Linked DNA regions of Mus musculus. The main gene of each other region encodes a partner of the protein of the gene in region 2 in a complex. Links are inferred from orthologs where the notes say so. Each region holds a gene or a part of one and is shown on either strand. Other genes may lie near its edges.

Evidence for each region.
Region 1: the proteins of Alb (region 2) and Fcgrt are in contact, whole or in part, in a crystal structure (PDB 6QIO), measured with the Homo sapiens proteins. The link is inferred for Mus musculus from reciprocal best matches to the Homo sapiens genes ALB and FCGRT. Residues at the interface, in NP_000468.1 of Homo sapiens: Arg105, Glu106, Thr107, Tyr108, Gly109, Glu110, Asp113, Asn133, Asn135, Gln441, Ser443, Pro445, Thr446, Glu449, Leu484, Leu487, His488, Thr491, Pro492, Val493, Tyr521, Val522, Pro523, Lys524, Thr530, Phe531, Thr532, Phe533, His534, Asp536; in NP_001129491.1 of Homo sapiens: Arg65, Glu67, Glu69, Gly72, Ala73, Val75, Trp76, Gln79, Val80, Ser81, Trp82, Trp84, Glu85, Lys86, Thr89, Arg92, Asn172, Lys173, Leu175, Thr176, Leu179, Phe180, His184, Glu188, Arg192, Gly195, Asn196, Trp199, Lys200, Glu201.

What each region holds. Positions count from the first base shown.
Region 1 is NC_000073.6:45,100,742-45,105,101, reverse strand, and holds the start of Fcgrt (IgG receptor FcRn large subunit p51 isoform 1 precursor), read left to right. Parts: upstream 1-1,279; 5' UTR 1,280-1,462; intron 1,463-1,828; 5' UTR 1,829-2,032; coding exon 2,033-2,099; intron 2,100-2,430; coding exon 2,431-2,688; coding exon of another isoform or gene 2,689-2,700; intron 2,701-2,916; coding exon 2,917-3,192; intron 3,193-4,360. UniProt on the Homo sapiens protein: Cell surface receptor that transfers passive humoral immunity from the mother to the newborn. Binds to the Fc region of monomeric immunoglobulin gamma and mediates its selective uptake from milk.
Region 2 is NC_000071.6:90,459,487-90,463,801, forward strand, and holds the start of Alb (albumin preproprotein), read left to right. Parts: upstream 1-1,383; 5' UTR 1,384-1,448; coding exon 1,449-1,527; intron 1,528-2,234; coding exon 2,235-2,292; intron 2,293-3,213; coding exon 3,214-3,346; intron 3,347-4,315. UniProt on the Homo sapiens protein: Binds water, Ca(2+), Na(+), K(+), fatty acids, hormones, bilirubin and drugs. Its main function is the regulation of the colloidal osmotic pressure of blood. Major zinc transporter in plasma, typically binds about 80% of all plasma zinc.

The DNA.
Region 1 (4,360 bases), on a different chromosome or scaffold from region 2:
ACATCTACCCTACCCCTCTGCTGCCTCCACGCTACCACCACCACCACCATTATTACACACGCACACACTTGTACACACACTTGATATAGACCAGAGGGAGAGGGAGGTCAAGGCAGGTAGGAGTGGTTGACTTTCTATTCTCTCTTAAAAAGGTTTTTTTTTTAATTTATTTATTGGTTATATGTAAGTACACTGTAGCTGTCTTCAGACACTCCAGAAGAGGGAATCAGATCTCGTTACGGATGGTTGTGAGCCACCATGTGGTTGCTGGGATTTGAACTCCAGACCTTCAGAAGAGCAGTCGGGTGCTCTTACCCACTGAGCCATCTCACCAGCCCTTAAAAAGGTTTTTTAGATTTATTTATTTTATTCATGCCTGTGTGTATACACGTGCCCCACATCCCTGCCTGGTGTTCAATGAGAAATTGTCAGACCCCCTAGAACTGGAGTTATGGGCAGCTGTGAGCCACCATGTGGGTGCCGGGAACCAAACTCGGATCCTCTGCAAGAGCAGCAGGTGCTCTTAACTGCTGAGCTGTCTCGTCAGCTCCAGACTTTCCAGACTCTTGCTTCTGTCTTTCAAGTGTGTGGGTTCCAGGCCTGCCCCATCACACCGGTTTTGCCCATCTACTTCAGCCTGTTGGTCCATCTGCTGACCACCAGTCGACCACTCACGGCTCTGTCAGTCTCCCTCTCTCGGCTGTTTATATTCCCTGCCGCCCAGGCCGGCCATGAACCCCTGGCCTCCCGGCCTCCATCCTTAGTGCTGGAATTACAGGCATGTGCTGCCGCCCACCCCCTTTCTTCTTTGCTGTCTATCTACCCTGTCAACCTACCTGTCTGTCAGTGTCTCTCTGTGTGTCTGTGTGTTTTTTCTGGCAAGATCTTGGGGTGGGCAGCAGGGTGGGAGACAGGGGCCAAAGGCAAAGGCTCTCATCACAGAGTGTGTAGGCAGGGTTGGGGCCACCTCAAGTGCTGGCACATGGAAGAAATCAGAGCAGGCTTACAGCTGGGAGTGGGCTGCTGCCAAACCTTGTGTGTTAGGCAACCATGCCATGACCAAGCCACACCCACAGCCCACAAATCCTGGGGTGTCTTAAAGTCACATTCAGCGTGCAGGCCTTTCCAGGGCTGCGAGTCTACTCCAAAAATGCTCCAAACGAGTAAACATAGAAGCTGTTTTGGGAGGCAGGCCTAATGACGTTTGCCCCGGGAGGCTTCCAACCAGATACAGCAGGAACTTCAAGAGAGGCTGGACAGAGGCCCAAGGGGTGTGCTTAGGAGCTAGTGGGTGGAGTTGGATGCCCTCAGAGTTCTCCAGTCCTAACTGTGTACAGACAGGATGTAAGAGAAGAACTGGAGGCTCTAAGCAGAGGATCCATCGGCTGCAGGCAGAGGGAAGAGGGCCTCTGTGAGGAACAGGCTGAGCGTCAGAGGAGGAGGCCCAGGCCTGGTTCTCTAGGTATGAGGGACCAGCACCCCAAGAGGAAAGAGGGTTGGGGCCTGGAGCTCCAGGTCTGAGGGAGGAGTGTTATGACCTGAGGGGGAGAGAGGAGGCTGGGGTCTGAGGAAGGAGAGCAGGACCCCGGGCACCTGAGTCTGAGGGATGAAGCCGGAGCCTAGGGTTTTGGGTTTGAGGAAAGATCTTGGAACTGGACTCCTGGATCTGAGGGAGGTGGAACTGGACTCCTGGCTTGGGTTTGAGGGCTCCTGAGGCTGAAATCTGAGCCCCTGGGAATGAGGGAGGAGGAGAAGGCCTGGATCCTCTGGTCTGAGGGAGGAGAAAAAGGAAATAACAGAAGTCTGAGACAAATTTTGGTCTGTCTAGCTCTGTAATTAATTAACTAAAGTGGATCAAATGAGAAGGTGAAAGTTCACAGAGGAACACTCCTGTCTGTCGTCTTGGACTGGGTCTCCATCCCACCATCCAGCGTCCTGGTCTACGAAGAGTCCACAGGGACCTTGTGAAGAATCAACAAGGCGGGGTCCAGAGGAGTCACGTGTCCCTTCCACTCCGGGTCACCCTGTCGGAATGGGGATGCCACTGCCCTGGGCCCTCAGCCTCTTGTTGGTCCTCCTGCCTCAGACCTGGGGCTCAGGTAAGAGGCCACCAGGACCTGGAGTGTGTCAGGAAGGGGACAGGAAGAAGAGCCAAAGAGTGGAAGAGGGACAATAAGTCCACTTTTTCCATGATGTCCTAGCCTTCATGGAAATCTCACTGTGGGTAACTTCTCTGTGCATCTGAGTCAAATACACTTGACAATCTCAGGCTCGTCTCTGTGTCCGTCTGTCCGTCTTGCTTCCTTTCTGGGTGTCTGTCCCCTTCTCTCTGGAGGATCATGGCACTTCAGATCGGGTCCAGTTTTCATTCTGCACCTCTGTGGGGCACGGTGCAGTCCGTGACCCGAGACTCTCCTGTTTGCTCTGCAGAGACCCGCCCCCCACTGATGTATCATCTCACGGCTGTGTCAAACCCATCTACGGGGCTTCCCTCTTTCTGGGCTACAGGCTGGTTGGGTCCTCAGCAGTATCTGACCTACAACAGCCTGCGGCAGGAAGCTGACCCCTGTGGGGCCTGGATGTGGGAAAATCAGGTGTCTTGGTATTGGGAGAAGGAGACCACAGACCTCAAAAGCAAAGAACAGCTCTTCTTGGAGGCCCTCAAGACCCTGGAGAAGATATTAAATGGTCAGAAGAGGGGTGAGCTTCAGTAGGCTGGGTTTGAGGAAGGATAATGGGTCTGGATTCCTGGGTCAAGGAAGGAGGCTGGAGCCCTAGGCCTGAAGTGGGAGGATTAGGTCTGAACCCTAGGAATAAGGGGGAAGGTTGGGATCTGGACCTCAAGGTCCGAGGGAGGAGAAGAGAGGAAGGCTGGCCCTTGCTCCTGAGTCTGCTTGCCTGCGTGTTGGCATCTAGGGACCTACACACTGCAGGGCCTGCTGGGCTGTGAACTGGCCTCGGATAATTCCTCAGTGCCCACGGCTGTGTTTGCCCTCAATGGTGAGGAGTTTATGAAATTCAACCCAAGAATCGGCAATTGGACTGGGGAGTGGCCTGAGACGGAAATCGTTGCTAATCTGTGGATGAAGCAGCCTGATGCGGCCAGGAAGGAGAGCGAGTTCCTGCTAAACTCTTGTCCGGAGCGACTGCTAGGCCACCTGGAGAGGGGCCGACGGAACCTGGAGTGGAAGGGTGAGCCCATCTCCTGTCCCTCCTCTAGATCTCCACAGCCATGCTCAAAGCCCACCCAGCATCAGTACAACCCCTCTCGCCTATCCCAGTGGATCTTCTTTAAGATAAGGTCTCATGTAGCCCAGGCTAGCTCTCACGTAGCTCAAGCTAGCCATGAGCTCATCGTGTAGCTGAGGATGGTCTTGGATTCCTGATCCTCTTAGCCCATTCCAAGTGCTGATTTGACTTAAGTGTGTTGCCACACCCAGCTAATTGTTCTTGTTTGTGAGACAGGGTCTCAGGCTGACTTTGAACTCAGAGAGATCTCTTGAGTGCTGGGACAAAAGGAGTGTGCTGCTGTACCAGGCTGCTTTTTCTTTTTCTTTTTCTTTTTTTGTTGTTGTTATAGTTAGACAGACTCTCCCAATGTAGACCACGTGACCTCAAACTTGTCATCCTCTTGGTCTCAGCCTCCCAAGTGCTAGGATTTTCCATGTCTTTTTCTTCTTGTTAACGTCTAAGAGTTCTTTATATATTGTGGACCCAAATCTTCACCAAATAAGTGTTTCAAACACACTTTCCTTGACTGTTTTCCTTTCATTCTTTTAAAGTTATCTTCAAATCTTTTTGTTTTGTTTTTTCGAGACAGGGTTTCTCTGTGTAGCCCTGGCTGTCCTGGAACTCACTTTGTAGACCAGGCTGGCTTCGAACTCAGAAATCCGCCTGCCTCTGCCTCCTGAGTGCTGGGATTAAAGGTGTGTGCCACCACGCCCGGCTTTTTTTTTTTTTTTTTTTAAGATTATTTAGTTTTGTATATAAGTGTTCGGATTGCATGTATGCCTGCTGCACACCAGAAGAGGGCATCAGATCCCATTTCAGGTGCTTGTAAGATGCCATGTGGTTGCTGGGACTTGAACTTAGGACCTCTAAAAGAGCAGCCAGTGCTCTTGACTGCTAAGCCATCTCTCCAGTCCCCAGTCCTCTTTTGAGGGCTGTGTTTTTGTTAGTATATCTTGCTTGGAGGTCATGCCCAGCCCAGGATGACCTAGGTCTCTGTGTGTATTTGGAGGAGTTTTATAGCTTTCCATTCTATGTATAGATCCTCTTGCTTTTCTGTCTAACAAATTGTATGTGAAGAAGGTCTGTCATTTCTCCATCCAAGTTTCAGCCTGTCTGGATCTGAGTTGTG
Region 2 (4,315 bases):
CTTTCTAGGAAGTTTAAAGAGGAATTGATCCAAGAAAGAATTATCTCTTCTGTTTAGTTTCTTTTTTTCTTTTCCAGGATGGGGTTTTGGCTTAATTCTGCCACCCACCCTCACCCTCAGTAGAAGTTATTCCATGGGCAGACTTTATCTATCTATCTATCTATCTATCTATCTATCTATCTATCTATCTATCTATCTATCTATCTACCTACCTACCTCCCTATCCATCTATCATCTATCTATCTATCTATCTATCTATCTATCTATCTATCTATCTATCTATCATCTATCTATCTATCTATCATTCTGTTCATCTGTGTAGAGGCTAGTCTGTTATTCCATTTCAGGACTCTTTTGAGTGATAAAACAAGCAAGGAAACACTTTTCCCTTCTCCTTCATTTTGCCTTGACTCCTGTGGTTGATTACAGAATTTGTACACCTTTCTGAAGATGAGGACACAAGATGAGGTCATAAGACATAGATTTCTTTCATTGTATAACCAGATATAAAGAAGAATGCTTCTCCTCCTCCTCCTCTTCCTCCTCCTCCTCTCTTCCTCCTTTTCCTTCTTCTCCTCCTTCCTCTTCTCCTTCTTGTCACTGAATAGTCCCTGTATATTTAGGAACCATGGGGTTGATTTGGATGTAGTCTTGACTGACTCATAAGTGAGATAACTGGTCTGCTACTAATTATTATCCTGTGGTGTTAGAGGAAGTATGTTACGATGGCAAAGACCATCATCACTGTCATTGGAGTGCCTGTTCTAGTGTCTCCTCTAAAGCACCCCGAGAAAGAGGTTCATGTTAGATGAAAACATTCTACTCCAGACCCGTTTCACACATAGCCTGAGCATGGGGTGGGGACACAAGACTTCTGAAAGTCCTCTGCACTTGTTTTTTATTGCTCTGGCTTCTTCTCAGTTCACATTTGAGACACTGTGTGCTTTATGGAAGATTCTAACTTTAAAAAGATGAGAAAGACTTGGAAGCCCTATAATGAGACCCACCCCTCCCTCATACACATTCTTCATTACCTGTACATAAAAGCATATTTGGGATGAACAACCTATGCAATTCAGTTCTTAGCTTTTAAATGTGGCATGCTTCCATGCCAAGGCCCACACTGAAATGCTCAAATGGGAGACAAAGAGATTAAGCTCTTATGTAAAATTTGCTGTTTTACATAACTTTAATGAATGGACAAAGTCTTGTGCATGGGGGTGGGGGTGGGGTTAGAGGGGAACAGCTCCAGATGGCAAACATACGCAAGGGATTTAGTCAAACAACTTTTTGGCAAAGATGGTATGATTTTGTAATGGGGTAGGAACCAATGAAATGCGAGGTAAGTATGGTTAATGATCTACAGTTATTGGTTAAAGAAGTATATTAGAGCGAGTCTTTCTGCACACAGATCACCTTTCCTATCAACCCCACTAGCCTCTGGCAAAATGAAGTGGGTAACCTTTCTCCTCCTCCTCTTCGTCTCCGGCTCTGCTTTTTCCAGGGGTGTGTTTCGCCGAGAAGCACGTAAGAGTTTTATGTTTTTTCATCTCTGCTTGTATTTTTCTAGTAATGGAAGCCTGGTATTTTAAAATAGTTAAATTTTCCTTTAGTGCTGATTTCTAGATTATTATTACTGTTGTTGTTGTTATTATTGTCATTATTTGCATCTGAGAACCCTTAGGTGGTTATATTATTGATATATTTTTGGTATCTTTGATGACAATAATGGGGGATTTTGAAAGCTTAGCTTTAAATTTCTTTTAATTAAAAAAAAATGCTAGGCAGAATGACTCAAATTACGTTGGATACAGTTGAATTTATTACGGTCTCATAGGGCCTGCCTGCTCGACCATGCTATACTAAAAATTAAAAGTGTGTGTTACTAATTTTATAAATGGAGTTTCCATTTATATTTACCTTTATTTCTTATTTACCATTGTCTTAGTAGATATTTACAAACATGACAGAAACACTAAATCTTGAGTTTGAATGCACAGATATAAACACTTAACGGGTTTTAAAAATAATAATGTTGGTGAAAAAATATAACTTTGAGTGTAGCAGAGAGGAACCATTGCCACCTTCAGATTTTCCTGTAACGATCGGGAACTGGCATCTTCAGGGAGTAGCTTAGGTCAGTGAAGAGAAGAACAAAAAGCAGCATATTACAGTTAGTTGTCTTCATCAATCTTTAAATATGTTGTGTGGTTTTTCTCTCCCTGTTTCCACAGACAAGAGTGAGATCGCCCATCGGTATAATGATTTGGGAGAACAACATTTCAAAGGCCTGTAAGTTATAATGCTGAAAGCCCACTTAATATTTCTGGTAGTATTAGTTAAAGTTTTAAAACACCTTTTTCCACCTTGAGTGTGAGAATTGTAGAGCAGTGCTGTCCAGTAGAAATGTGTGCATTGACAGAAAGACTGTGGATCTGTGCTGAGCAATGTGGCAGCCAGAGATCACAAGGCTATCAAGCACTTTGCACATGGCAAGTGTAACTGAGAAGCACACATTCAAATAATAGTTAATTTTAATTGAATGTATCTAGCCATGTGTGGCTAGTAGCTCCTTTCCTGGAGAGAGAATCTGGAGCCCACATCTAACTTGTTAAGTCTGGAATCTTATTTTTTATTTCTGGAAAGGTCTATGAACTATAGTTTTGGGGGCAGCTCACTTACTAACTTTTAATGCAATAAGATCTCATGGTATCTTGAGAACATTATTTTGTCTCTTTGTAGTACTGAAACCTTATACATGTGAAGTAAGGGGTCTATACTTAAGTCACATCTCCAACCTTAGTAATGTTTTAATGTAGTAAAAAAATGAGTAATTAATTTATTTTTAGAAGGTCAATAGTATCATGTATTCCAAATAACAGAGGTATATGGTTAGAAAAGAAACAATTCAAAGGACTTATATAATATCTAGCCTTGACAATGAATAAATTTAGAGAGTAGTTTGCCTGTTTGCCTCATGTTCATAAATCTATTGACACATATGTGCATCTGCACTTCAGCATGGTAGAAGTCCATATTCCTTTGCTTGGAAAGGCAGGTGTTCCCATTACGCCTCAGAGAATAGCTGACGGGAAGAGGCTTTCTAGATAGTTGTATGAAAGATATACAAAATCTCGCAGGTATACACAGGCATGATTTGCTGGTTGGGAGAGCCACTTGCCTCATACTGAGGTTTTTGTGTCTGCTTTTCAGAGTCCTGATTGCCTTTTCCCAGTATCTCCAGAAATGCTCATACGATGAGCATGCCAAATTAGTGCAGGAAGTAACAGACTTTGCAAAGACGTGTGTTGCCGATGAGTCTGCCGCCAACTGTGACAAATCCCTTGTGAGTACCTTCTGATTTTGTGGATCTACTTTCCTGCTTTCTGGAACTCTGTTTCAAAGCCAATCATGACTCCATCACTTAAGGCCCCGGGAACACTGTGGCAGAGGGCAGCAGAGAGATTGATAAAGCCAGGGTGATGGGAATTTTCTGTGGGACTCCATTTCATAGTAATTGCAGAAGCTACAATACACTCAAAAAGTCTCACCACATGACTGCCCAAATGGGAGCTTGACAGTGACAGTGACAGTAGATATGCCAAAGTGGATGAGGGAAAGACCACAAGAGCTAAACCCTGTAAAAAGAACTGTAGGCAACTAAGGAATGCAGAGAGAAGAAGTTGCCTTGGAAGAGCATACCAACTGCCTCTCCAATACCAATGGTCATCCCTAAAACATACGTATGAATAACATGCAGACTAAGCAGGCTACATTTAGGAATATACATGTATTTACATAAATGTATATGCATGTAACAACAATGAATGAAAACTGAGGTCATGGATCTGAAAGAGAGCAAGGGGGCTTACATGAGAGGGTTTGGAGGGAGGGGTTGGAGGGAGGGAGGTATTATTCTTTAGTTTTACAGGGAACGTAGTAAAAACATAGGCTTCTCCCAAAGGAGCAGAGCCCATGAGGAGCTGTGCAAGGTTCCCCAGCTTGATTTTACCTGCTCCTCAAATTCCCTTGATTTGTTTTTATTATAATGACTTTACTCCTAGCTTTTAGTGTCAGATAGAAAACATGGAAGGTGACATTCCTCAAGGCCATTAGCTCTTTGCTTCTCTGTGTTATCCATCATACACAATATTGTGGCACTTGACTATCATGAAAATTACACAGAAATTGACAAGTCCAAGGAAAGTAAGTGGTAGGGGGTTTCTACATGATCTTCGTTTGCCTCGCAGTTTAAAAACGTAACTTACTTCATTAACAATTTTTTTATACTTAAATTTATTTTAAGTGGTATGTA